Rattus norvegicus: one gene and its partners. The protein of the gene in region 3 interacts with the protein of the main gene of each other region in a biochemical or structural test. Links are inferred from orthologs where the notes say so. Each region holds a gene or a part of one and is shown on either strand. Other genes may lie near its edges. The genes, in order: Crebbp, Map3k1, Chuk, Map3k14, Cops5, Nfkb1 and Nfkbib.

Region 1 (3,500 bases), on a different chromosome or scaffold from region 3:
AACACCATCCTAGGTCCTGAGGACATACGGTAAAGCTGCCACACACAGCCATGCACTAAGGCTGAGGGAGGGAGCATCTACCTCAGAGCGGGGTTCCCCCTTGGATTCAGCAGGATCAGGTTCAGCATCATCTGTCTGCACCTCTGTCTTCATTTCCAGCATGGGCACATCAGGTCCTGGCTGCTGGGAACTGGTTTCAGCACTGGTCACAGAGGAGGGAGTAGGGACTCTATTATCAATGCTGGCTGCTGCCTGAGAAAGCTGCAAAGAAATCAAAATCATTCACCTCTGTAAAGCAGATAACACAAATGTTCCTCCAACTCTTGTACCTCCAAGCTCAGTCTTCTGTTTAGTATTTCTCCTTACAACCTAAGTACTTAGTATGACCACTAAAGGGCAGAAGTACTTTTCTAAGTTATAGTCTCTCTGCTTTCTGACTGGATTATTTTACCATTATTTTCTTCACTAACATTCCTACTTATGGAGAAAGGCAAACCCTTAAGTATTTACAGGGAGGTTGGGGACTAATGGCCTATATGAAGCATGTCTCACAGGACAGTGATGGCAGTGGAGTAAGCAAACACCCCACTCCATTACAGGCTTTACCCTATGAAGCACTACAGAAACTAATAAAGAAAGATAAAGCTCTGGTAAGAGGTAAGAGTAAGCACACGCCCTTATGGAGAAACCAACAGTAATGTCATCTTTCCAACTGTTGCATGATTAATTTTGTCATTCTACAAATAGCTTAAATATCTAAGAATTAATACAAACCCGGGAGGAGGGGATCTGTTGTTTCATTATGAATAAAAAAAGGCATGTATTCTCAAACAAGGTTGATTAGCCAAGACCTTTATAGTTTGGAGCATAGCATGTCTACTAAACCCACAAAAGCACAAAAGCAGTCAAACCTGGACGGTAATTACTCTAGAACAGAAAACAGGTAAAATAATGGTAGTGCATACAGTTCAATGTGTGACATACCGAGGACTATTGATTTCTATAAACCACTTTAACCAAGGCAAACTATAAGCCATACCTTTAGGGACAATAGAGGAACAATTCAGTTTACTGCAATTTCAGACACACACACACACACACACACACACACACACACACACACTCTCTCTCTCTCTCTCTCTCTCTCTCTCTCTCTCTCTCTCTCTCTCTCTCACTTTTTGGCACCAGAGCAATTTGCTATAGCATCCCAACAGACAGAATAGTCCTTTTTTTAAAAGATGGCATCTTACTTTTCTAGCTAGATATGCCTGCTTGTGCACGAGTGCTCGACACATCATTCTTATGGTAAGGTGCCCTGTATGAGTTTAGCTTGATAATGACGAAGAGGCTCACCGGTGTGCCAGGAGGCTGAGTATGCACAGGCGTTGGTTGCTGCTGTGATGACTGAGGAGTGGCCACAGATGGTGGCTGCACTGGAGTCTGAGGCTGTGGGGTCACCTGAGCCTGTGCTGCTGCCTGCACTGTTGGGGTGCTCTGTGTTTGGGCAGCACTGGGCACTGAGCCAGGAGTTGGGGTAGGAGTCTGCCCAGATGACACAGGAGTGGATGGCTGAGTGGGAGCTGCTGGCTGGGGAGGGGTCATCCCTGGTGGTGTCGGATGCTGGAGAGAGGGCATGCCAGCAGCTGTGGAAGCAGGAGGTGGAGTCGGGTGCAAAGGTGACTGTGTCACTGGTGGGCAAGGAAGCTGGCTGGTCTGGGGCGCCAGCATGTTCAGAGGGTTAGGAAGTGTACCTCCAGGCACCTGGCCCTAAAAGAAATAATAAGAATATGTAAAACTTACTTTACCCAATTGAAACCATAAGGGACTTACGGAAAAAAAAATTAGAAAAATGTAATTCTAGTTTCTTAATTAGTTCTGGTAGTTTCATGAGGATAGTACATTTGCAAAACTTCAGACTAACCATTTATAGCATGCACCACACCATGTAATAATAAGCACTAAAATGCTTCTATACTCTGATTTGTATAACGTCAATATCTGATTACAATATTCATGGCTTAGACACATTTACTTAGTTTACCGACTTCATGTTTTGTAACATCTACTTAGACAACAGAAAAAGGGCTTTTTTTTTTTTTTAAAATAAGTTGAGATACTAGAACACTGGGGAGACCCCTGACTTAAAAAAAAAAAAAAAAGAGAGAGAGAGAGAGAGAGAGAGAATCAAAATTACCATTCCAGAGACAAGTTTGGCCTAGGGACTTTGGTCCAGTTCTACAGGATGACAACAACAACCAGATTACAAGTTACATGGTGTGTGTAACTACTTATACACTTTGAGAGCAGAGTTAAACAGTTAAGACTAGGACTATGGCCCTGAGAACCAGCTGTTGAACAGAAAAGGTTTACTGCTGGTCATTGTGGCATATGGCTAAGATACAAAGAGTGTAGCCTGGGCTACGTAACATGGAGAGACTCTGGAAAGAGAAGAAAGTTGGTTTCCTGATCTCTGTTCTGAAGAAATGAGATAGAGAAAATTAATCATTACTGAGCAAGCCTAACATATTCAACAACTCATTCAGCATTAGCTAAATTCTTAAAAGGACACAATTTTTTTTTATTTTGAGAAAAGATTTAGCCTACTTTGTATGCAGCTGACATTTGATATACTACAGTTAACCAAAGTGGGAGAAAGCAGTAAAATGGGTGGGAAAGTCGGCTGTAACTAAATAACTGAGGCATGCTCAGGAGAAGAGTGCTACTCCAATGAGTCTGCTAGCCTTGACCCCCAACACACATAGTCAGAGAGACAGACAGACAGACAGACGCGCGCGCGCGCACACACACACACACACACACACACACACACACACACACACTGAAATCCAAGAAACCAAGTCACTAAAAGAGGATCCACCCTTCAAGTTCTAGTACTTCTCAGGATGCCGTTAATCTTAGATTTCTAAAACACACAAACAGCAACCAAAATCCAAAGATAAAAAATATAAAGAAAATAAAACAAATGAACAAACAAAAACAAAAGACCAACCAACCAACCAAAAACCCCACAACCACAACCCATTTTACTTTTGTGTGAAGTTCACCTAGAAGGATTGAGAATTAAAAATTACGGAGCAAAATGGGAAATGGAGATATATACTCTAGAATTCTAGTTCCCATAAAATAAGACAGGAACCTGTCAACAGAGGCTGAGGCTACGTAAATACTAGCTGACCAGGCTCCCACACTGAATGTACCTGTGAAACACCTGCCTGGGTTGCGGGCTGCCCCATGCCTACACTGTTCACACTCATTGCCCCACTGGATGATGGAAACTGGTTCTGTGGCAGAAACTGGTTCTGAGTAGGTGCCTGGGCCATAATGTTGTTGGCATGGGTGCCCATCATATTGGGAGGCTGAGGCATCCGGGAAGGAGAAATGGCCATCTATAAGACAAGAATCAGAAGTGTTAGGCTGGAGTCTTCAAGAGATAACGCAGTGCTATGGAGATCCAAAGCCTTACAAATAAAGTATACTTT
Region 2 (4,300 bases), on a different chromosome or scaffold from region 3:
AACCATACCTGCGGAGAAAAGAGGGGAAATGGAATCACTTTAAGGCAGGCGGAGCCTACAGCAGCCTGCCATTTGGCATGTGCTTCTGCAGAAATACAACAGAGGACCCAAAGAGCTCCAGGATCCAGGTGGAGGTGGGGTGGGGTGGGGTGGGTGTGTGTCGATGGGGAGGGGCCCACTTAACCATACCTACGACTCACAAAGTTGGGTAGGACCTATCCAGTTAACTGCTTTCAAAGGAGACTTTATATGGATGTATATAGCAGGGAGCTGACTTCCTTAGTCGATTGGGCCCTTTGATTATTTATCTCTGAAAGAAAACTGTGTGTCTGTGTATAGGAGCATAATGACAGCAGAATTATGTCCATAAAAGACAAAAGGAAATGCGATTCAAAAGGTCTTAATAGTCTTCATAGACTGATGCGGTATGTGGAGGCCAGAGCACGGCAGTTAGTCAGCTGTGCTTCATTTGATGCCCACCCTCATTTTCAAACAAACACCATACAAATAAAGAGGCAAAAGTCACTTTTTGCTGGAATTTCCTTTAAAAAAAAAAAAACTTTATTATTCAGGCCAAACTTCCAAAGCTGGTCCAAAGATAGAGACAAAGGCTAAGAAGGGTCTGCAGTGGCTTTTCTCACTTACAGGTACCTAACTATGAGTGTGCCAATTTAAAGTTTATTTTAGATCTCAGTAGAAACCAGAAAAGCTAATCCTTTTCGATTTAGAATTTGGTGGGTGTGGCAATCTAGGAAGACCTAGGAAATAACTACTGTTTGGTTTGGATGTTACGCTTGTCTACTATTAAAAGAGCATATAATTATAGCCTAAATGGAGACCCAAATCTTGAACAGACTAATCTAAACTTTCAAAATGTGTACCTTTTAATGTAACCATCAAAAACTATAGCCTGCCAGATGTTGTAGCACTCAGCATAACACGGAGCTTACATTGAAGTCAGGATCCTTTAAAAAAAAATAAAAACCCCTTTCTTGCTCTCCAGCTGACATTACACACCTAAGGAGGGCTTCATTAGATCTACTTTGGAGACGTTAAATGAATTATTTTGAGATAGTTCAGGCTTTTGTTTAAATGCAGGCGAGATCTCTCCTTTTACTGTAAGACGAAAACCCTTCTTACCCCTCCCCCACGCCTCATGTCTTAATGTTTCAAAAATTAAATCTAGAGGTCCGGGGTTCTGAAAGATTGCCTAGTCTAGACAAATAGGCGGAGGAAAAGAAGTAGCAGAGGAGGGGGAGATACGGGCGACATGGCAGCTCCATCCCGTTGAAAAGGGGTGGGGTGGGAATTCCCATATATTTACAGCTTCTCTATCCCCAGCACCTTTTCTAAAAAGACTCCCAGGCAGGAGAGAGGCGAGGGACGCTACATAGGACAACCTGGGAGCGGCGGCGGTGGGGGAAGGGGGGACCCAGGAACCCGGCCTGTCACCTGACTGCCAGGAAGAGGGACGTGCAGCTGGGAGCATCTGAGGGGGGTGGGGAGACCTGGTAGAAGATGGCAAGATCCAGCGCTTCCTGGCAGAGCGCTGGCTCTTTCCCTAGACGTGCTCTCCCGCTTTCGGTCGGAGGCTGCCTTTCCAAGACGGGGGAGTAACCTCTGGCAGAGCACCCGGGTTGGTCCTTTTGCATAGCCGGTGGGAGGAGGGAGGGTGTCCCAAACCAGCGGCCTCAGATGTGCACAAGGTAGCACAGGAAATCTTAAGTAGTGTTATTTGTGACACCAGGGCGGGACAAGAGGTCTGCTTTCCAAAGAGAAGGCTTCGCGTCTGTCTGCAGCAGGCGACAGTCCCGGGCGCCACCTGCGCTTCGGGCGCGGGCCAGGCTGGTGCGCGCCGGGCCCCCAGCGCCCGCTACTGAGAGCGTGAAGTGACCGACCGTGAGTCCTCCGGCTTGCGTCCCCTTCCAGCACCAGGGACTCACGCCCCAATTACTGCTTGCTCAAGGGTGGACGAGCTCCGGCCGAGCCGCTGCCCCGCCCCGTACTACCTGGCAGCTGCCCGGGTGCAGCGCACAGCGCCCCGCGCGGCCCCAGCAGAGCCCCTGCCCTCCCACCTGCGCCGCGCGCCCGCCGCTCCGTGCTCCCGAGACAGGAGACGCGGCCCCGCTCCCGCTCGCGCCCGCGCACTCGGCGCAGCGCGCGCGCCCGCCGCTCCGCCCGCCCCCCGCGCTCTCCCCGCCCCCTCCCTCCCCCGCAGGCACGAGCGAATGTAGCCCGCGAGAGAAAATGGCGGCGGCGGCGGGCGATCGCGCCTCGTCGTCGGGATTCCCGGGCGCCGCGGCGGCGAGCCCCGAGGCGGGCGGCGGCGGCGGAGCTCTCCAGGGAAGCGGCGCGCCCGCAGCGGGCGCGGGGCTGCTGCGGGAGACTGGCAGCGCGGGCCGCGAGCGCGCGGACTGGCGGCGGCAGCAGCTGCGCAAAGTGAGGAGTGTGGAGCTGGACCAGCTGCCGGAGCAGCCGCTCTTCCTCACCGCCTCGCCGCCCTGCCCATCTACTTCCCCGTCGCCGGAGCCCGCGGACGCGGCTGCAGGAGCGAGTGGCTTCCAGCCTGCGGCGGGACCGCCACCCCCGGGAGCAGCGAGTCGCTGCGGCTCCCACTCTGCCGAGCTGGCGGCCGCGCGGGACAGCGGCGCCCGGAGCCCCGCGGGGGCCGAGCCGCCCTCTGCAGCGGCCCCCTCCGGGTGAGCGGCGGGCCGGGCCGGGCGGGCAATGAATGAAGCGAGGACGGAGCGCGGCTCCCGGGGCTCCGCTCGTGGGGCCCCGCGCCCCCGAGCCCTGAAGGTCGGGCGGCGCCCGGGACGGCGTGGGGACAGGACGGGAGCGTGCGGGAGAGTTTGTTATTGTTTGCGGACATGTGACAGGCGTGCAAACCGCGGACGTGCGGGGCTCCCGGGGCCGGGTCCTGAGAGCCCCCACGGCGCGCTGTGAGTGGGGAGCCCGGAGGGCGGAGGTGACGGCGGTGGGTCTGCGCCCTGTGACAGGATAGAGCCCCTGGGCCCCACGGGGACGCGTGCCCGCCCGCAGGTACCGGGCCGGGCTTATGCGACGCTCCCCAGGCGGCCGGGGGATTCCGGGGACTGCGGGGAACGCCTGTCAAAGCGACGCGGGCAGACGCTGCGGGCTCGCTGGACCGCCGGGTCTGCGGGGACTCCGTGGCTTCCCTCACTGCGTGTCCCTGGGAATTCCTACCGCACCTCGGAGGCTAGAGCGCTGGGAGTTTGAATCCGCCTTTGAAGTTAGCGTTTGGCGGAATGCTGTAGGATCCAGGACCGGATGTGTCAGCCATTCAGCTTCAAAGCTGTGGGGACTGCGCCCCGCAGCCCCGCTGCGTGGCGGGGACAGGGACGGTGCGGGGCTGCGGCTTCGCTCGCAGGGGTCTTCCGGTGCACCAGAAGTAGGATGTGCGTAAGATAGTTTACACCAACGGCTCTTTGGCCTCGCCCTTTTTTGGCTACTGGAAAATTTTCTGTTAGAGGAAATTCTTTTTAAGTATATGATACTTTTAAAAATTCTGATGAAAATACACAAAAGCATAAAATCTTGTTGGGTGTGTGAAGTTGCTGGATATGTTTTCGTGATAGTCACCCGGTGGCCCCGTAGAATTTCTTGACGTTTACTATGGGTGGAGAGTGTTTTATTGTGTGTCGAATCTGACAGTAGGAATCCTTGGTTTCGGTTAGTTATCTAAAGTAATTTGACCCCCTTTGGTGCTCTGGCTTGTTTAAAATCACGGTCCGTTTATTACTTGGAGGTCGTTTTTCCTCCCCCCACCCCCCCGTAGTAAAAAGTGTGCTGACTCCTGGGCTCTGGCAGAATGGGGAGGAAGGTAGGCAGCAGCCAGCCCTACTGCAGCTTTCTGTGTGCACTTGTACACGTATCTTCCTCTAGGGTTTCCTGTTTTTGTGCAGATTAGATTAAAACATTACCAGAATAATTCCTAGGTGGCAACTCTTACTACAGATCAACTGCAGACGGAAGCAAAAAACACTAACTTAAACTTGGAGGAATTAATTTTCTCTAGTTTTGTGAGACCTGATTTTTTTTTCCTATATGGTAATACAGCTGGCCGCACTTCAGCATTTACAAAGTCAATGTTATGGCCTATGAATATAGCATGAGAGCAACAACTGCAAAAGTGATATATAGAACTTTAGTGTTCCCTGTAGACTCGAAATTGGAGGATGAAGGTGAGGGCAGGAGGGATTGAATACCTGAGTAATCTGTGCTTAATTTTCGCATTCTCTTTCCTCTCCTTAAGGAGGGTTTATAATTGTAAAGGTTG
Region 3 (3,961 bases):
CATAGTAATAAAATCCTAACACATTAGGTATGGTAATATGAATCTACTGGTTCTGGTATTTTGAAAAATGAGGCAGGAATAAAGTTTGAAAACACAAATTTCTTTACTTTTTGGAGCTTTTAAATTGGATTCCTAATTTGAATCATGATTCTCCAAGCAAAAGGACTAGTGCACGCAACATTATCAATGTGTGTGGAAAAAGTGACGCTGTTGCTCAATATGTAGATTGCAGCCTCTAGGACCTCCAGAGAATCCTGACGTCAGTCGAAGCTCGGGTCCATTGCATTAAAGAGCACAGCACTTGCACAAAACTTAGATAAATCCTCTATCGGTATACGTTTAGTAGATGCTTCTCCTGCAATCCCAAGCCCCACCCTACCCACAATTATTTTCAATGTGTGGAAGGTTGAATCTGTAGTACTGAGGACAGAACCTAGGGCATGCATGTGACCACTAAGTTATATCTCTAGTCCATACATTTTGTTTTTTAAAGGTTCTTACTCTAATGGCCCATAGTGGCTTTGAACTGAAGGCAATCCTCCTGCCTCACTCTCCCACGGGTTCCTACCATGCCTTTCTATATTCTTTCTTTAATGGATTCCATGGAACTAGGTTTTTCAAATACCCCGAGGCAAAAGCCCTCTGATGTGGTGGTTTGAACAGGTCTGGCCTCCATAGATTGATGTGCATGAATGCCTGACCCACAGAAAGTGGCACTATTAAGAGGTATGGCCTCATGGGAGTGCCTGTGGCCTTGTTGGTGGAAGTGTGTCACTGTGGGAGTGGGCTTTGATGCTTCCTATCTCAAGCTGCATCCAATATGGAACATAGTCTCCTTCTGCAGCGTGAGGATCAACATGTTGGACTCTTGACTCCATGTCTGCCTGTATGTTGCTATGCTTCCCACAATGCGGCTAATGGACCAAACCTCTGAAACCAGTCCCAACTAAATGGTTTGCTTTATAAAATCTGCCTTGGTCATTATGTCTCTTCACAGCAATAAAACCCTATGACATCTTCCAGTGTCTAGGGTATCAAACTGTACTTATGTTTATTTCTGAAACACGGTCTATTATGTAACTGACACTGGCCTTGAGCACAATATGAAGACCACCTAGTTGGGTCTCAGCTCCAAATCCTCTTGCCTCAGAGCCCTTGGTACTAGGATTACAAGCATATGCCACCATGCCTACCTGTTCCGATGCCCATCTCTCTCTGAAATGGAAAGCTCCTTCAGGGTAAAAATAATATTCTTGTTGATTTGAGCACCATCAATGCCCGATAAAGCAATCAACTAAATCATTTCATGTCCTTCTTCCTGTCCTCAAAGGTATATATGAAATACTGGAACTATTTCTACCAGCTGAGTATACCAACCCTGGTAGGCCCAATCTTAAGGTATTACTAACATGTCTGTACTTGGCTTATTGTTTTTCTAATTAAAACGTATCCCTTGTGTATGATGCTCCAGAACACCATTTTTATTTTACTGTCCCTTTTGTAAACGTACAATTGATGGGGGTTATGATAACATGACAGTGGAGACCTATCAACCGACAATTACAGTGCCTACCTAGTACTTGCTAAGTTTCTAATGACATCTGACGTAACTCTCAAAGAGACCCAGAATGTATGTATACTCTTCTAAATATTTTACAGTCAACAAAAATCCTACACTGCAATGATTAGTATTCAAGGTCTATTCCCTACATCCTTCAGGAAAGCAAAAACCGTCAATAATAACGTGCTGGTTTGTACTGATAGGATTTTTCTGGAGAAAAGATGCATAATTTTTATTGACTTATCAAAAGACCTGTGACTCAGACATGATTAACTATGGCTGAGGATGAAACCCAATGGTCAACCATTTGCCTAGCATGTGCAAGGTCCTGTGTTCCACCCCCAGCATTAACAACAACACACTATCGTAAGTAAAGTGACTGTTGGTTTGAAAATCCTTTAAATGCACGAGTGACTGCCGTTGCAATGGTTACATGTTTTTCGATAAATCAAATTTCCTGAGCCTGACATTAGCTGTCTTCTAGAGAACAAATCCCTCACCTTTCAGTCTATTTCCTTTCCTCTGAAGCAAGGATCATTTTCATCGCCTTACTTACCTTCACCCACCCTGGTCTTTACCTGAAACGCTCCAATTCCAAAGTCCATCAATGTTTCCAAAGGTTCAACTCTGGACACTAGAAAGGTTCCTCGTCTATGCCAGTCTCCAGTGGATCACACCGCTCCCGAGCGAGTGTGAGCAGGCACCCGGCGACAGACAGACAGACAGACACACACACACACAGGCACACACAACACATAGACACAAACACACGCACGCTCGGGCACTCGACATGCACACAGACTCATCACCACACACAGTTGCGACAGCTCCCTGTCACTCACTGCCCAGGGACCTCAGACACACCTGGAACACGGCCACCCAGGCTCACAAGCACAGTATCACCGGCGCTCGCTCACTGCCCTGGCCCCAGCACTGCCCAGGGGCTAGACCACCTCCCCTTCCACCTTGACTGACAGCCCGTGTTCCAGGGACGCCCAGACAGACCCGGCGTCACTGCTCCCGCCTCCCGCCTCACCCGGTGCTGGTACAGACTGACGTTCCCGAAGCCGCCGGTGCCAAGCCTCTCCCGCATCTCCCAGGGGCCGCCGGCGCCAGGCCGCAGCCCCGGGGGCCGCTCCATGGGGCGGGAGCGCCAGCCGCCTCAGGCACTGCCACCAGTCCGAGGCCGGTTCCGGGCCGCCGAGGCTTGCGAGTCCTCCTTCTCGCGAGACTGCGTCACTTCCGCTAGCTTCCGCAAGCAAAGTCCCGCCCCGTGCGTCTCGAGTCACACTGGGATTGGTGCATACGAGTAGGCTGGGCACGAGCGGATTCCTATTCTGTTTTAAGTGCCCGGGCAACTTCCAGGCTGCGAGGACTATGGAGCGTGCTGTTTTTATTTTTTGTTTAGATATTTTAATTGGTTCTTTGAGGGTTTCATACAACGTGTTCTTATTTGAAAATAGATCTCTCTCCAAACCCTAAACTCCGCATTGTCCCTACCTTGCAAACATTTCATCTTTTTGAGAGTCCTGCCCTCTGCCCCTGGAATCCTACCACACTCGCTGGTCGGCACCGGTTAAGGCCTCCGTAAATGTGAAAGGAAACTGCGCTAACCGGCCTGTTGATTCATTAGCCTTCTAAGTCAGAGTCTCTCCTATAATTCCAAACCACCCAAGGATGTGACGTTATTCCTGAGTGAAAAACTCTTCCGGACTTTGTGAGTTTTCCTACCGACCTTACTGCTTATCAGCCTTGTTCTTTCAGATTTGCCAGGGAAGTGGTTCTGGATTGGAATTGATTCTGAAGTGGTGCCACATGACTGCAAAGACAAGCTTGGGGGAAGTCTCGGTCCGATAAGGCATAATACTTCTGAGTGGTGGGTTGCACAGGGAACGTCAACCCGCCTAGCCTTTTGAGTGGGTTATCCGCTTCTCTAGGTGTCTTGTTCTGAGACAGGATCTCAATACAGTCCAGCCTGGCCTAGAACTTGTTATTCCTCCATCTTTCTGAGAGTGGGATTACAGGCTTGTAGCACCCCACTGGGCTGAAGTCAAGGATGCTCATTGTCAGCATGCAATTCGATGTTGTGCATCACTAATAGTGAGTTGTATTCGATAAGCTGGTTTCTATTCTTTTCATGTCTTCTGTGGAATTGGAATATCGGACTTGAAGGTAATTGAAATTAGCCTCTGAGAGAACATCTCTAGAGGAGAGGAGACAGTCTAACAATATGAAGCCTCATTTGCAGTGTATGACAGAGATAGGCGTGAAAGGCATGCCCCATCTCCACAGATGGGATATAGATTCATAATAGTTTCATAAGAAGAGAGACGATGAAAACTCCAGCCAAGATAATGTTGACTGGGTTAATCAAGCTGGTTTCTACAGTCAGTTCACTTT
Region 4 (4,246 bases), on a different chromosome or scaffold from region 3:
TGAACAGAGTGTTCGCACTCGAACAGCTCACCCTACCCGTGAAGACACTCAACCCATTCCTTTCCCTTATTCGGGATCCTGCTGTGCAGGGAGGGCTGACTTATCCACTCTCTGAACCACCCCTCTTCCCACCCGCTTCATGCTGGTGCCATCAGAAGTGCCCAGGGTGCTCAGAAGCCTCCGGTTTAACTGAAAGACTAAAATGGGGCAAACAGGAAGCATCAGACACAACTGCGGTAGTGACTTATTAATCACGAAAGCAGAATTTTAGTTGCATTTTAACCTTTTGCCAGGAAAAAAAAAAGCATCTAGTTGATGGGTGCTATCGGTGGAACCGTCAGCCCGCGTGTGCTGCGAGCTGACCTTTTACTGGGTCTGAATTTGGTTTTCAGTTTTCTTTTTTCTCCTAAGGGGGGAAAAATCTGTCAAGCCAATCAGGATTAGCCTGTGAGGTCTTCCCAGGGGAGTAGCACCTGTAAGAAGCCCATGTGCTGTCCATTGAGACAAGGGGAAAAAAAGAAACAAAAAAACAAAGTGACAAAGTGACTTCACAGGCAAGTGATACTACAAAACTCTTAAAGAGAGGGGAAAATGGCTCTAAAGGAACGAGCCTAGATTTAAGCTTTTATCTATTTCACATCCGTCCAGTCTCCTACCAGACCCTAGCTAAGGAGGAACCCTTTAACTCACCAAAAATCTCACAACGGTTGTCTAGGTCTGGACAACCAATCAGGGTGAGCCCTGTCCTCTCAACCCCAAGCAGATCACAAAGGAATCAGTGTTCATCGGGAGAATCAAAATGAGGAACCACACTTTATCTGCCAAGGGTGAATGGCAAACCAGGCATTTTTGTTTGATAGGCGAAGGTTCATTGGCAGGGTCTCTGTCTGTGGTGCCACTCCCACAAACTCTAACAGACACCAGAGACAAAACAACAACAACGACAACGACAACAATGACAAACCCAAAAAACAAAATCCCTTCAGAACTGCTCTATCCACCCAGAAACAATCAGAAAATGACCTGAAGCCTGATCGCACAGTACTGTTTGACTTCACAAACTGCTGGTATGTATTTCTGGGTATGTAAGCTGGGTACTTACTTCTAAAATTAAAGTCAGACATATTAACTATTTTTACGAGCTGTTCTGAGAAATTTATCACACTCTTCCAAATAAATCAGGATGTCCTCTTCCTTCTCTTTCTTTCTTTCTCTCTTTCTTTCTTTCTTTCCTTCTTTCTTTCTTTCTGGTGTTCTGAGACAGGACCTTGCTCTGAAGCCCTGATAGGCTTCTAAGTCACAGCAAATCCTCCTTGTCCTAGCCTCCCAGTGATGGATACAGGTGTGTGTCACCATGCCTAGTTTTCAAGATGTCTTAAAGGCGTTTGAAAAACTCAGAAAGCTGGCATCCACCCAAAGGAATTGCCTTTGACATCACTTTAAATACAAGAGGAAATCCACACGCACTTCATAAGCAAGTCAAGAGTCTTCAAAGCATCCTCTTACATTAACAGCAAGAAGATCAGCCCAAACCTTCCCCCCCTCTTTTCTCTAGCATAGTTACATTATACTGTTCTGATTCAGGGATCTGAAGAACTCCCTCTCACTCCTGGCTCTGAGGCCACAGACAAGGTATGTCATCCCCTCACCTGATTCAGGTATTTCACTTACCAACGGGACAACAGTCTATGCATCTCACCACACCTACCACTAAGTGGGAAACTCATTAAGCAAAAACAGGTAAAACTAAAGTCAGGATACAGTCCTCTAATCTTTCTGAAAGACTGTGTTTCTAGATCTGTGCCAGTGTTCCAAAGTCCACTGGTCATGGTGCCACCCCTCATTCATTTCATTTTTTTTTTTTAGCGTCCCTAATCCAGCCATGATTGTTCATTGTCTCCAATTAACAACAACAACAACGACAAATTGTCACTAAGACACTACTGATACTTGAAACTTTTCTCCACTCATCCTCTTGACAACCCGTGCCCACCCCTATCCATCCTTTAGGGCTGACAGCCATCTTTTAATCTCAAAAGATGGGGTGGGGGGGACCTTTTCTGAAGTTAACACGATGAGGCTCCAAAGCAGGTGGGAATCTCTGCCTCGAACAAATGTTTCTTTTTACTTAGTGACAGGTGGCTGAAAGTTGCCAGAGCCGCGATGAGCTTCCAAGATAGGACTAGTACATATAAACAGACCCCAAAAGTCCCGAATAGAACACAGAATTACACAGAATGGTAAGGACCATCGAGGAGAGAGGATATCATCAGCGACTAGCACTGCACTGCTGAGTGCCCAGAGCAGTGTTCCTCTCAGAACAAGTGATCCCAAGCAGTTCACTGGGAAAGGCTGCGCATATCATTTCCTAGGACAGTGGAGCGATCACCTTCTCTTGGGGGGCACCCAGGAGCCGGGTCTGGCAGTAGGGCGGCTGAACTTGATGGCACGGACGTTGGGGAAAGGGAAACAGACAGTACCCGCGCGCGTTCCGGGCAAGCGTGTGACCCATGGGTGCGCGGCCTGGAGGTTCCAGGCGAGCAAGGCGTTTCGAGCGTGGCGTTGATGGCGCTGAGCGTGCGAGCGTGTTAGACCGCAGACACCCGGCCACCCATCCCAGCCATCCCTCGTGGACAGCCAGGTTGCAACCCGGCCCCGGCCTGGGAGGCGCCCCTTCCCTGCCCGCTCCCTCAGCGCCCCGCTTTAGGTCTCGGGGTTCTGCCCAGTCACCTACCGGCGGAGCGCCGTTCTCCTCAAACAAGCGAGTGTGGCGCTTCGCTGGCCAGCGATCGCTCGGGGCCTCAGCTGCCCCTCCCCGACCACGCCCCCACATCTAGCTCCGCCCCGGGTCACGCCTCCCCCCGTGGCTGCGACTTTGCTAGCTTCCCGCCTCCTTTCTTTGGCCCCAACGCGACCCTTGATCCCACCCATTCCTACAGGTTAGCCAATAAGACATCTTGTTTCGGCCGGCTTGCCGTCCACTGCTCAGCAGCGATTGGCTAGCGAGGCCTCCCCCAAATGGGCACTGTTTCCGGCCAGGGCATCTAGAGCCGACGGCTGGGTGGATGGGCGGGCGGTAGGCGAAGGAGGCCAGGGTGTTGGTTGAATCACGCATGCGCTCTCCACTTGGGGCAAATCTTTTACGGGTTGCATTCTTTTTGAGGTTACGGGAAGGAAGGGCGACTCTACGCATGCGTGGGCATTCCCAGCTTCGGCTTTGGTTACCTTGGAGACGGCGGGGCGCTCTGTCTCCAAAGTCTTGGGTTTCTCTCCATTCTGCTTGAGGGCGTGGTTGCTTGGTGGAGGACTGGTGGGTCTAGAAACACTTTTTTGGAGCACTTAGTGTGAACCCGGTGCTGTAAAGTGTGTGAAGATGAGTTTGCTTTGCCTGCCCTCGAGAAGTGTGGGGAACCAAAGGCCTACGTAACACAGGCCGGGTGTTGAAATGCCGCTCTAAGGGAGCATGCAGATTTTGTGATATAGTCTCCGTTCACCCCCTGGAGAGGCTTCGTGGTGTGTGTGCTGAGCACAGGGTCCATCCTAAACTACAGAGCCAGGGAGATCTGGACTTTGAAAGCATGGTGTCTACAGTGCTCTTTTTAATGGGGGTGGGAAGGAGTGTAGGGAATGTATGGACTCTTTTTTTCCTTTTCTAACTTTGCTAATAGACCTCCTTTGCTAATGTACCACCAGCTTCTATCTACTGGCAATAAGAAATTACAAGTGCGTAATTTTGAATGTTTCCAGAATGAAAGATGTGCTGCTGCGACCTTAGGGACTCTGCTAGGAGTCCTATCTGCAGATGCAGGGACTGGCTGTACAATGGGAGTGGAAGCCATATTCTTGTCTGGTCAGATCCAGGAACAGCCTGTCTGGAAAGGTTTGATCCAGGGCCAGGCCACTGTCTGCTTGTGACCACTTTGCAGACCTAGCTTCTTTCTGGAGACAGTTCAAGCAGACCTCTGTCGTCGGACACCAAGCAAAGCCATTCATTCAGACTATATGGAAATCCCACAACCTGGCCTGCATTTAGGAGGCCAATCTGAGCTGCACAGCCTAACTTCTGTGTGGAAACAAAACCAAATAAACAACAACCCGAGAGGCTCACCCACTCCCCTGGGCCACAAACACCTTAGAGCAAAGCCTGCAGTTGCTAATAGCCCATGTTGCCTTAGTCTCAACCGGGTCAAGTGTTGTCTCTAGAACTATTTCTGGCTGGGACTCAAACTGAGTCTATATACTTCAG
Region 5 (3,500 bases), on a different chromosome or scaffold from region 3:
GGCCTGCACAATTCAAATCACTCTCAGTAACAGAGACTTCCACATTCCTAGTAAGATAGCCCATTAAGCCCCTTTTAAAGCATTCCTCTGCTTTCCAAATCCAAAGTCCAAAATCCACATTCTTCCAAAGCATGGTCAGGCCTATCACAGCAGTACCTCAGTCCCTGGTACCAACTTCTGTCTTAGTTAGGGTCTTATTGCTGTGAACAGACACCATGACCAATGCAAGTTTTTTTTTTTTTCTTTTTCTTTTTCTTTTTTTTTTTCGGAGCTGGGGACTGAACCCAGGGCCTTGCGCTTGCTAGGCAAGCGCTCTACCACTGAGCTAAATCCCCAACCCCCCAATGCAAGTTTTATGAAGGACAACATTTAATTGGGGCTGGCTTACATGTTCAGAGGTTCAGTCATTTATCATCGAGGCGGGAGCATGGCAGTGTTCAGGCAGGGATGGTGCAGGAGGAGCTAAATTCTACATCTTCACTTGAAGGAAACCAGGAACAGATTACGCATCCTCAGGCAGCTAGGAGGAGCGTTTGCAAGCCCACCCACCCCACAGTGACATACTTCCTACAACCATGCCACACCTTCTAATAGTGCCACTCCCTGGGCCAAACATATGTAAGCCATCACAATCATATTAGGGCTTCTCAGACAATTTGAGCTCCAAATGACCAGTTGAGTTCTTTTCTTAAGAACTTGTTATCTCTATTATAGGGGTGGGTAGCTCTTTTATATGTACACTGTAGCATCAGTCACTATTACTGAATATATTTTATCATATTTAACTTTGATCTGAATGAGTTTCTAAGTAAGGAATGTTCTTGTGTTTCCTTATATCCATTATCCATTGGTTTACAAGCAGCTAAGATAATTAAATACTCATTGAAAAAATAAAAATAAAGTCGGTCACAGTCACACACATTGGGAGGCAAAAGTAGGGGAGTTCCCTGTATGTTTGAGGCCAGCCTGCTCTATGCAATAAGTTCTAGGCCAGCCAGGACTGTTTTTCAATAGAAATAATAATAGGTTTTTAGATGTTTAACTAAATTCCCCTTAGTTCTCAGTATTATAAACGAACTACCTTTCAAAGCAGTAGAAATTCTTCTAGGTACCTTCGGAACTACTTTAAGGTGCTTTTTAAAAAGCACCCAGGCTACACTAGAGAAGGGAAGCCGTGGGAGATCTGTGTGTCGTTTCTAGAGTTTTCACAGAGGTTGGAAACCCTAGAGCTGCTCTAAGGGAGCTCATTCAGCTCAGCCTGTTGTTAGAATGAGAGAGCTCAATAACACATCATTTAGGAATTCCAATTGCTACTAGCGTCTTAGAAATTTTGGGGCACTGCAAAAGGAAAAAAAAAAACTGTATATAAAATAAGAAAGGCTGGGCTGGAGAGATGGCTCAGCAGTTCAGAGCACTGACTGCTCTTCCACAGGTCCTAAGTTCAATTCCCAGCAACCACATGGTGGCTCACAACCATCTGTAATGGGATCCGTTGCTCTCTTCTGATGTGTCTGAGGACAGCTACAGTGTGCTCACATACATAAAATAAATAAATAAGTCTTTTAAAAAAATAAATAAGAAAGGCTAGTAGACAGATTTAGAGCTGTACCAACTAAAGACAGAGGAAACACTATATTTAGCTGTTGTTCAACTGTACGACTATAAAATATAATTTTACGTAAGTGTAGCCAAAATTTCTATCCAATATAACTGTATATTTTTTTTCACCTGCCAAATGTGTGCTCTTGTTTTGTAGATATTATGCCTTAGAAGTCTCATATTTCAAATCCTCTTTGGATCGTAAACTACTTGAGCTCTTGTGGAATAAATACTGGGTGAACACCCTGAGTTCCTCTAGCTTGCTTACCGTAAGTACTGGACTTGTTTCCTTTGAATTTTGTTTTACTCTGAAGCCCAAGTTGATGCATGCTCAACTGAAACATGAAGGACAACCCAGCACTGTCAGTTCTCCCCTTGTATGTGGGCCCCAGGGATCAGACTCAGGTTGTGAGGCTTAGCAGCAAGCTCCTTCACACACTGAGCCATCTTACTGGCCCCTGGCTTCAGGTGCTTGATTGTTGGGATCATAGACAAGTGCTATTACACCTGACAAATTTCAATTGTAGTCAAGCTTCCAAAACTGTTTGGTGTTTGAAACTCAATTCACAGAAAGGCATAACTTCAAGGCTGGAGCAGGGTTCTGTCCAAGCTAAATGAGGATGCTAGGCAATCCAAATGGGGGAGTTCTGCTTGTGCCTTAAAGAGGTTCATAGAGGAAAATCAAAAATACTGCTTCTGTTGCCTCAGATAACAGAACAGGTAGGTCTCTGACACATATAACACTGTAGCCTGATATGTCAAGACCCTCAGGAGTCACGTATCAGATGTTTACATTACAGTTCATAACAATAGCAAAGTTACAGTTATGAAGTAGCAATAAAGTAATTGTATGGGTGAAGACATGAAGACCTGTATGAAAGGATCACGGTATCAGGCAGGCTGAGAACCACAGGTCTGGTTAGAACTAACAGGATACCAAATGAAGGAAACTGAAACGGTCCTCAAGCAAGTCTAGATTCTCATTCAGGAGATGTTGTGAAGTCAGAGCTTCTCTGAGCTCTGCATGGTTCACATCCAGGCTGCACATGAAAGCAGATGGCAGCTCTAGCATCATCTCATGGTGTTGGGCAGACAAAAAAAGACACACACACACCCGCATGGTCTCGGGCAGCGTCTCCTGGGTTTGCTAGGCTTTGCTTAGGTCACAGGCTCATCCTGAAGACGTGCTATGGGCCAAGGCAAGGGACACATTGCTCTGCAGGGCTGGAGTAGAAACAGCTATTTCAGGAACATGTGAAAAGAGGTCCTGGGAAGAAATCTGAAGATTAAATATATATTTAAGAGGTATATATTTAGAAGTTAGCAGTTTTGTTGTTTTTACTCTCTGATAAAAAAGACTACTTCATGTAATACGGTATAATTTGAAATAAACTGGGTTTGAAAACAAATGTGAGACTACTGCTAGTCCTCTGTGACCTTCAGAACGCGGTTCGTCCCAGACTAGCCTTATAGTTGCTACACAGCCAGGGATGGCCCTGAAGTTCTGTGTCCACCTTCTGGTGCTGGGATTGTAGGCACGAGCCACCACATCCAGCTTTAAGGGCTGACTGAGCCTTTGCATGGTGTAGAGTGGTGGTCGTGGCACTAGGTGTATCGCTTGGCTCGCTACGGCAGAGAAAGCACCTGCCTTGATAACGATGGCTGGGGTTTGTTTGGTGTATTATATCCTTAGAAAGACTCACTTGAGCCTGTTTGCTAATGTCTTAAACATAATTTTGACACAGTCTGTGTTCTGCTTATTAGAAGTATCAGAATTCAAAAGTGCAAGCTGGGCACGTGTCTGTAATGCTAGACTTTGGGACTTGACAGGTTGAGTCAAGAGAATTGGGAGTCCCAGGTCTTCCTTAACACACAATAAGCTTGAGGCCAGCCTGGCCCAC
Region 6 (3,500 bases), on a different chromosome or scaffold from region 3:
TCCAGTGTGCTGCCTCCCTGGGCGAGAAGACTCAAGTGTGTGAGCATGTTAATTTTAAACCCTTGCCTTGTGTGTAAAATAATGTTGAGAAAACTATTGACAGTCCCATCAAGTCCCTGAAGCGTTATTGTCACAGTGTACCCAAGGGAGAGCCTGGTAAAGACATTAGTACAGTAACTAAGAGGCAATGCCTTTCTTCCCTAGCTCCTGGCTGCTTCTCTGTGGTCTCTAGTGTGTGAGAGGACCAGACTCTGCCTCAGCTCCAGGCCAGGCTGCGTGGGAGTCTGAAATTCCAGACGCCATGCCTGCTCTCTATTCCTGAGGTTCCGTTTGCAAAGGCACCTGGCTCCTTCCTAAAGTGTTCTCTTAGTCCTTCCATTGAGCCTTCTGAAATGAGCTAAAAGCCTATAAAAATAGCCAGAGACAGCAGTCTTGAGATTCAAGTGCTTTATCTAAGGGGGTCCTAAAATAGCATTAACGCTGAAAAGGAGTCCTTTTCTGTGGCAGCATTTGGGAGTGCCGTGGTAAGTCTCAGTTTAAAAACAAAATGCTTTAGGAGGATGCCAACCTCAGGGGTTTCGTACAGAGACCTTTGTCCCCGTCACTTGCAGTGTAACTAAGGATGTGGTATAACCGCTGGCCTTGTCCTACAGTACAAGAGGAACCCAGACAACCTTCTCTGTAAAAAGCCCTGAATAGCAGAAGGCGCCTTTAGCGGGAAATCATCCCGTTAGCATTCAATAGCAAATAACCACAAAACAGAGCGGATAACCAGGGCGCACACCCATCGGCACCTCAGGTGCCATCTTTAAGGACTGGCTCAGCTCATGAGTAATGAGGGCAAGCATGGTAGGAAGTGGAACACTGATTTCTGAAAGACGTAAGGATACATGTATGGACACTAGATGGCCATGGGGCAGCCGAGACAGTGGCCAGCATTGCCTAAGTGAGGACAATACACAGAGCCTCGTCCAAGACTTCAACAAGCAGGCTCTCTGAGAGGCTAGGGGTGTGAGACCTGGGAGACACAGAAGACCCACTCAGAAGTGTAGATAAGGAAATATCCTGGTTTCTCATATTTATTCAGCTTGCCATATTTGGACCCCGTCACCATTAGTCATCATAGAAAATACAATAAGGAAAAAATATAGAACCCTCTGGTACTGGGGAAATTCCTCCAGGGGTATGAGGATCTGAGGGGGAGGGGATGCTCTTCTGTGAAGCTCTGAGCCGCACGTGGAAATGTTGAAGTAGCTTTTGAAGCCCTCTTACTCGATGTGTGAACGTCTCCATCACTTCTCCATCACGTCTCACAAGCCTCACTTCTGTCAGGGTTCCATCAGGAGCCACACTGAAGCCTGAGGTGTGGCTGCAGTGCCTCTCATCAAAGCACGCACGCTTCACTTGTAGTCAACACCGACACAGGATCCTCTAAAGAGCAACTTTGTGGTCTTCCCTGAGAAGTATTGCTACATGAAATCCTTCAGGGATAAGTAACAAGATCTTGCTTAAAAACAGAAGTCACTTCTCGTTGTTTCGGAGGAACAGAGCTCACTCAGCAACTGAGTTTTCCTGAGCTGTCCCTACGCCTGGGCATTGCCTTTGTTCATGGTCTGTCAGGGAAAGACCAGGGAGAGCTGCCTGAGTCTGAGTCACAGAGACAGAGCTGGCTTGGAGCTTAAGGCCATTTGGTCTCCGACCAACAGGGCAGGTGCCTTTGCACTTCACGTGTCTGGTCAGACATTAACACTCCCACGGCCAGGTGGGCACAATCAGCATGTAGTAATCTGCAATGGGCAGTGGGAGAAATCCTCCAGAGAAATCATGTCACCTCATATCAGTACATGGGAGGGCCAAAGAATGCTATGCGTAACACTTAGATTCAGTCTTCAGTTCCGTCGTTTCTTGACTTTTTTGTTACTGTCACTCGTTGAGCCCCCAGTTAATTATCACCACCGTGTTCATTCCAGTGTCCTACACTTAGCCATCATCCACCTTCATGCTCAGCTCGTGAGGGATCTGCTAGAAGTGACATCTGGTTCGATCTCTGATGACATCATCAACATGAGAAACGATCTGTATCAGGTAAGCAGCCACCTCAAGACAGTCAAGAAGAGAAAAGGTTTACTTTGTAATACATGTGTGTGCTGTTATCGGTAACAGGAAACAAGGAAACAACATCCTTTCATAAGTGGTATCTTAAAAGTATCTTTAGCTGGGAAAGCTATTTTATAAAGAGACGAGTAGGATCATGGATTTGATGACAATCACGCTGCATGGAAATTCACTATCTTCTAGAAAAGCAAACTTTAAGATCTAGAAGTCAGAGTTGATAGTTTTGAGGGAGAATCTAGGGGAGGAAAGTCACAGCTGTCAGGAGAGACAGAGTCAAAAAGAAAATCAAGTTTCAAAACGCAGTACTTTGTGAGAATTTTGAGGTCCGAGGAAGGGTATTTACAGTATGTGTGGAGGAAAGGCTCTGAGGTCAGCTCCTGGAGAGGTGAAAGGCTGTAACAGGAAGAGGAACCAGCTCAGGTTTGAGAAGGTAGGGAGGACGGAAAACTCCAGGAGAAACCAGCTAGAGATGGTGGCACAGTCAACTGAGGATAGATGAAGATGTTGAGGTAAAGCAAATCAGAAACTCCAGGAGCAGAAATAGGACTGTGGCCTGCTCTGAGGCCTCCTTCCTCCCTCACCTCTAATTCTCTCCAGCCCTTTTGTGCCCCTCCCCCTTCCTACCCCTCCCTGTCTCCTACCCCTCCCCTTCTAACCCTCTTCCTCTCCTACTCTACCCCCTCCTCTTCTTCCCCCTCCCCCGTTCCTACCCCACCCATTCTCCTACCCCTCTACCCTTCCTATCCCACCCATTCTCCTACCCCTCCCCCCTTTCTACCCTACCCACTCTCCTACCCCTCCCCCTCTCCTACCCCTCCATTTTTCTGGGTCTGTTGGTCTTTTCCTCTTGTTGGCTTTTATGTATCTCTGAACTCACTTGCCCAGTGTGTCTTTCTGATCCCACAGCCAGGATGGTGCTGAGACCTCTGCTTCCAGGTTATGTTGCTTTCATTGCAAAACTGTGGCCAATAACCATGCATAATTTGTGCTTAGAAGAGACAAGAACTAGTGGAGTTCTTACTTGGTGTTTGTTTGTTTATATGGGTTTTGGTTTTGGTTTTTTTGGTGGTTTTTTTTTTTTTTTTTTTTTTTTTTGGTTCATTTTGGTGCTTGGGACTACACTCAGAACTGAGCGCATACCCTTCCATACAACCACGCTAACTCCATTTTTTTTTATTATTATTAACTTGAGTATTTCTTATATACATTTCGAGTGTTATTCCCTTTCCCGGTTTCCGGGCAAAATCCCCCTCCCCCCTCCCCTTCCTTATGGGTGTTCCCCTCCCAACCCTCCCCCCATTGCCGCCCTCCCCCCAACAGACTAGTTCACTGGGTGTTCAGTCTTAGCAGGACCCAGGGCTTCCCCTTCCACTGGTGCTCTTACT
Region 7 (3,998 bases), about 160 Mb from region 3:
GAAGGGAACCAGGGGTTGAGGCTATACATTTTCCTTGACAGTCCCCAGAAGCCGCCATTCTCCCAGGAGCTGTACTAATCCCCAGATGGGTTTAGGGATCAGGGCCATAAGCCAAGGGCCCTTGGGTAAAAGCCTTCCCTTGCACCTCCCCCAGTGCGGCATGTGGAACCACGTCCATTTCTCTCCTTCCCTCCACCCTTTTCCCCATCTCACCTGAGCCTCCTGCACCTTCCCTGCCTGGTTCTCCAGAGGGTCAGAGGCTGGGGAGGAGGGGGAGCAGACGTGGTTACAGTGGGGGGAAATAGTTAAGCAGATGAAGGGTTCACAGTGGTGGAGGCGACAATAGGACCCACCAACCTAATTATCCTGGAGTCATGGATGGTAGTAAAACTATTGGAGATGGGGAAAGGCATGTTTTAGAGTGGAGGAATGTGTGAGGAGGGGAAGGTTTGGGAGGAAAAAGCAGGTGAAACGGGACTGAAGGAAGGTTTCAGAGTTAAGCAGGATAAGGTAGCGAGTGCGAGCCAGGAGAATGAGGGAGGGCTAAGTTTTTCAAGAGATGTTAAGTAGGGATACTTCTGCTGAGAGTTGAGTGTGGGAGAGGAGATGCAGTGAAGGTGGGAGGTTTAGGAGAGGCACAAGAACTGAAGGAATGAGATAGAAAGGGGCCGCAGGGGTCCCCAAACATACTATAGTTGCCCTTAACAACAGGCAACCTTAGCAACCGGGATCGTGGTAACTTTGGTCCTTAGCAACGAGGGTCCTCAGCAACCAAAGTGCGAGAAACGCGATCATTCAAAACTTTGCAAATGGACCCTTAAATTTCACAATCCAGAAACCCACCAACCTAGCAATATCGACCACTTAGCAACAGCCCTCCGAATCCCACTCCCTTCAGGCAGCCTCTGTCTCCCACCCCACCGACCTGCCCGCGGGCCCCGGGGCCTGCAGCCCAAAGCCAGGCCCCGGCGCGGCCCGACCCTCCCACCCTCCCACCAGGGCCCCTAACTCACGGTCCGGCTCGGCCATGGGAACGGGGTGGGGGCTCTCGGGACTGTCACCGACTGCTCTGTCCCGTGACGGCAGCGGAAACAAGAAGGAGCCGAGAGAGGATAGAAAAATACAACTCCCGACAGGCAACGCGGTCCCGTAACCGCTTTCATACGGTGCTCCCCTCACGTTATCAAACTACAAATCCCAAAAGGCTTGGCGCCGGCGGCCATATTAATAAAGGGCGTCTGGAAAATCTGGGGAAACTCAGCGAGCGAATGTCCATCTCATTATTCTGATTGGTTCTGGTGCAGTACAGAGGCGGGGTGTGGCTATTTAACACAGTTTGATTGGGTATATGAGGGGGCGTGTTGGGGAATTCCCAATAGGGCGGAAGCGCTGGAGCTCTCGGCAGAACCCAGCGTCAGGCAGGCGACCGCAGGGGGCCACCCGAGGTGGCAGGGGCAATGGCCGGGGTCGCGTGCTTGGGGAAAACTGCAGACGCCGATGAATGGTGCGACAGTGGCCTGGGCTCTCTAGGTCCCGACGCAGCAGCTCCCGGAGGACCAGGTCTGGTCGCAGAGCTTAGCCCAGAGCTGTCTTGGGCGCCCTTAGTCTTTGGCTACGTCACTGAGGATGGGGACACGTGAGTAAACCTTAAATTACCAATTTACCCTAGGGATCTTACCTGAGTCTCCATTAGCCTATGATTTCTGTGGCTTCTTATCTTCTCGTTCCTAACTCTGATTTCTGATGCTGGACTTCCTGACCCATAACCACCAATCACTAAATTGTGAGACTAGTCCGTTTTCACTCACAGTCAAGTGTCTCAACTTTTCTGAACTCTTAAATTTGAGCTTACGATCCCCAAATCGGGTCTGAACCTTTCTGACCACTCTAGTTCCCACATCTTCTGACCTCTTGCTTCCAGATGTGGTCTTTGGTCTTTGGCTATTCTTGTATAAGCCAGATTTTGATTTCCAAAATTAATTCTTGACCCTGAGTCTACGACGCTGACACATCCAGCACTGACCCTGCAATTGAGAAACCGAGCTACTGGGTGTCATGGGCCTCACAGAAGTTGGGAGGCAAAGGCAGGTTGATCTCTGTGAGTTTGGGGCCACCTGATTGAGATGCCGGCCAGCCAGAGCTACATAAAATTTAGAAGCTCGATTCTATGAAGATGGATTCATCTGTTAGCCAAACGTCTCTCCCTAACTACCACCTTTCAATCCCTGGTTTTAGTTTAGCTGAATGTGGTGGTACACACTTGTCATCCCAGCTCTTAAGGGGCTGAGGCAGGAGGATTGCTAGTCTGAGGAGAGCCTGGGAAGACCGGTATCAAAAAGGAGGGATAAGGAAAAGGAGGAGAGGGAGCCTGGGGGGGGGGTGTGGAGCAGGAAATGTTGATTAGTAGATAAACTGGGGAGAAGGGATGGCTGTGGTGACAGTGTGTGTAAGGGAGTGTACCCGGGATTTTCTTGTCCTTTGTGCTCATTGCGTATACCCAGTGACTCAGTGCCTGACCCATGAGGGGAACCCAATAAACACTCATCTTAAAGAGCCAGGAGTAGTTTCCTTAATTTTCTAATTTTTCACTTTCTACTTTATTGGCCCTTGTTCCTTTATTGTTTCCCTCTGGTTATTTAATTTTTGTAATTTCTTTATCCTTTTTTTTTTTTTTTTTGTTCTTTTTTTCGGAGCTGGGGACCGAACCCAGGGCCTTGCGCTTCCTAGGCAAGCGCTCTACCACTGAGCTAAATCCCCAACCCCCCTCTTTTTTTTTTTTTTTTTGTTTTGTTTTGTTTTGTTTTGCTTGTTTGTTTTTGACAGTCTTGTGTAGCCCATGCTAGCCTTCAGGTTGTAGCTGAGGATGGCTTTGAACTTTTCATTCTCCTGTGTCCACCTCCCAAGTGTGTATCACTACATCCAGCTCAGGGATGTGCGTGTGTGTGTGTGTGTGTGTGTGTGTGTGTGTGTGTGTGTGTGTGTTCGCACTAACCACATAGGCTAGACTAGCTGGCCTGAGAGAACCTTGTCTCTTGCTCCCCACCCTCCTCCTCCTCTTTGAGACAGGGTGGCTGACCTGGAACTCACTATGTAGACCAGACTGGCCTCAAACTCATAAAGATCCATCTGCCTCTATGTCCTGAGTGCTGGGACCAAAGGTGTGCGCCTCTGTGCTCTACTCCAGGGATCTCCTAGTGTTAGGATTATAAATACTTACAACCACACCCAGCTTTTTTTTATGTGGGTTCTGAACTAAGGTCACTGTGCTTTACTTACAAAATAGTTCCCCAGCCACCCACTCCACCCCCTTTTTCGTCAGTGTCTTACTATGTAGCCCAGGCTAGCCTTGAACACTACTGTAAAAAATAATAAAAATAATTGATTCAGCCATTTAGCTCCCAACAAGGACTCTGGCACTAATTATTCATTAATAAATGCCTTGGCTACAAGCTTTGGCTCATTCCCTGGCTAACTTATAACCTATTTAACGCATTCAAACTATCCTATGTCTTCCACGTGGTTACCTTTCCTGCAGTCTCCAGCCTGCCTCTTCCTTAGCGTCGTCTTTCTCAGTGTCTCAGTGACCCCTCCAGTGCCTCTCCCTGCATCTCCCTTTTTTCCTCACCATTTCCCAGAATTCTCTCTCTCTTCCTGGCAGTGTCCCACCTGTTTCCTCCCTCAGCTCATTGGCCATAGGCTTTTTTTTATCGACAGGTGTTGCCTTTAAGAAATTCTGTCCACACTATGAAACTTGTCTTTGGTTTATTTTATTTTATTTGTTTTTTGTTGTTGTTGTTTTTTGTTTTTGTTTTTGTTTTGAGATAGGGTTTCTCTGTGTAGCCCAGACTGTCCCAGAACTCTTTCTGCAGACCAAACTGGCCTTGAACTCAGAGATACATTTGCCATTACCTTCCAAATAATTTACTTTATGCGTATGACTGTTTTACCTGTGTACATGTATGTGGACTGTGTTTGTGCTTGTTGGAGCCCCTGGAACT

The links.
Region 1: the proteins of Chuk (region 3) and Crebbp form a complex in vitro, tested with the Homo sapiens proteins (2 studies listed by BioGRID, with this or other methods). The link is inferred for Rattus norvegicus from reciprocal best matches to the Homo sapiens genes CHUK and CREBBP.
Region 2: of the proteins of Chuk (region 3) and Map3k1, one has a biochemical effect on the other in vitro, tested with the Homo sapiens proteins (3 studies listed by BioGRID). The link is inferred for Rattus norvegicus from reciprocal best matches to the Homo sapiens genes CHUK and MAP3K1.
Region 4: of the proteins of Chuk (region 3) and Map3k14, one has a biochemical effect on the other in vitro, tested with the Homo sapiens proteins (5 studies listed by BioGRID and IntAct, with this or other methods). The link is inferred for Rattus norvegicus from reciprocal best matches to the Homo sapiens genes CHUK and MAP3K14.
Region 5: of the proteins of Chuk (region 3) and Cops5, one has a biochemical effect on the other in vitro, tested with the Homo sapiens proteins (2 studies listed by BioGRID). The link is inferred for Rattus norvegicus from reciprocal best matches to the Homo sapiens genes CHUK and COPS5.
Region 6: of the proteins of Chuk (region 3) and Nfkb1, one has a biochemical effect on the other in vitro, tested with the Homo sapiens proteins (3 studies listed by BioGRID and IntAct). The link is inferred for Rattus norvegicus from reciprocal best matches to the Homo sapiens genes CHUK and NFKB1.
Region 7: of the proteins of Chuk (region 3) and Nfkbib, one has a biochemical effect on the other in vitro, tested with the Homo sapiens proteins (2 studies listed by BioGRID). The link is inferred for Rattus norvegicus from reciprocal best matches to the Homo sapiens genes CHUK and NFKBIB.

Annotation. Positions count from the first base shown.
Region 1 is NC_086028.1:11,932,840-11,936,339, reverse strand, and holds part of Crebbp (histone lysine acetyltransferase CREBBP), read right to left. Parts: intron 3,408-3,500; coding exon 3,219-3,407; intron 1,768-3,218; coding exon 1,354-1,767; intron 262-1,353; coding exon 82-261; intron 1-81. UniProt on the Homo sapiens protein: Acetylates histones, giving a specific tag for transcriptional activation. Mediates acetylation of histone H3 at 'Lys-18' and 'Lys-27' (H3K18ac and H3K27ac, respectively).
Region 2 is NC_086020.1:45,145,219-45,149,518, reverse strand, and holds the start of Map3k1 (mitogen-activated protein kinase kinase kinase 1), read left to right. Parts: upstream 1-1,500; 5' UTR 1,501-1,636; exon of another isoform or gene 1,637-1,747; 5' UTR 1,748-2,247; coding exon 2,248-2,699; intron 2,700-4,300. UniProt on the Homo sapiens protein: Component of a protein kinase signal transduction cascade. Activates the ERK and JNK kinase pathways by phosphorylation of MAP2K1 and MAP2K4. May phosphorylate the MAPK8/JNK1 kinase.
Region 3 is NC_086019.1:252,941,474-252,945,434, forward strand, and holds the start of Chuk (inhibitor of nuclear factor kappa-B kinase subunit alpha), read right to left. Parts: upstream 2,801-3,961; 5' UTR 2,703-2,800; coding exon 2,598-2,702; intron 2,548-2,597; exon of another isoform or gene 2,167-2,547; coding exon of another isoform or gene 2,140-2,166; intron 1-2,139.
Region 4 is NC_086028.1:88,712,793-88,717,038, forward strand, and holds the start of Map3k14 (mitogen-activated protein kinase kinase kinase 14), read right to left. Parts: upstream 2,801-4,246; 5' UTR 2,735-2,800; exon of another isoform or gene 1-2,734.
Region 5 is NC_086023.1:13,985,328-13,988,827, forward strand, and holds part of Cops5 (COP9 signalosome complex subunit 5), read left to right. Parts: intron 1-1,756; coding exon 1,757-1,868; intron 1,869-3,500. UniProt on the Homo sapiens protein: Probable protease subunit of the COP9 signalosome complex (CSN), a complex involved in various cellular and developmental processes.
Region 6 is NC_086020.1:226,704,463-226,707,962, reverse strand, and holds part of Nfkb1 (nuclear factor NF-kappa-B p105 subunit), read left to right. Parts: intron 1-1,970; coding exon 1,971-2,085; intron 2,086-3,500.
Region 7 is NC_086019.1:93,178,588-93,182,585, reverse strand, and holds the start of Nfkbib (NF-kappa-B inhibitor beta), read left to right. Parts: upstream 1-1,198; 5' UTR 1,199-1,457; coding exon 1,458-1,636; intron 1,637-3,998. Other genes in the region: Sirt2 (NAD-dependent protein deacetylase sirtuin-2), read right to left, coding at 214-260, 1,014-1,029. UniProt on the Homo sapiens protein: Inhibits NF-kappa-B by complexing with and trapping it in the cytoplasm.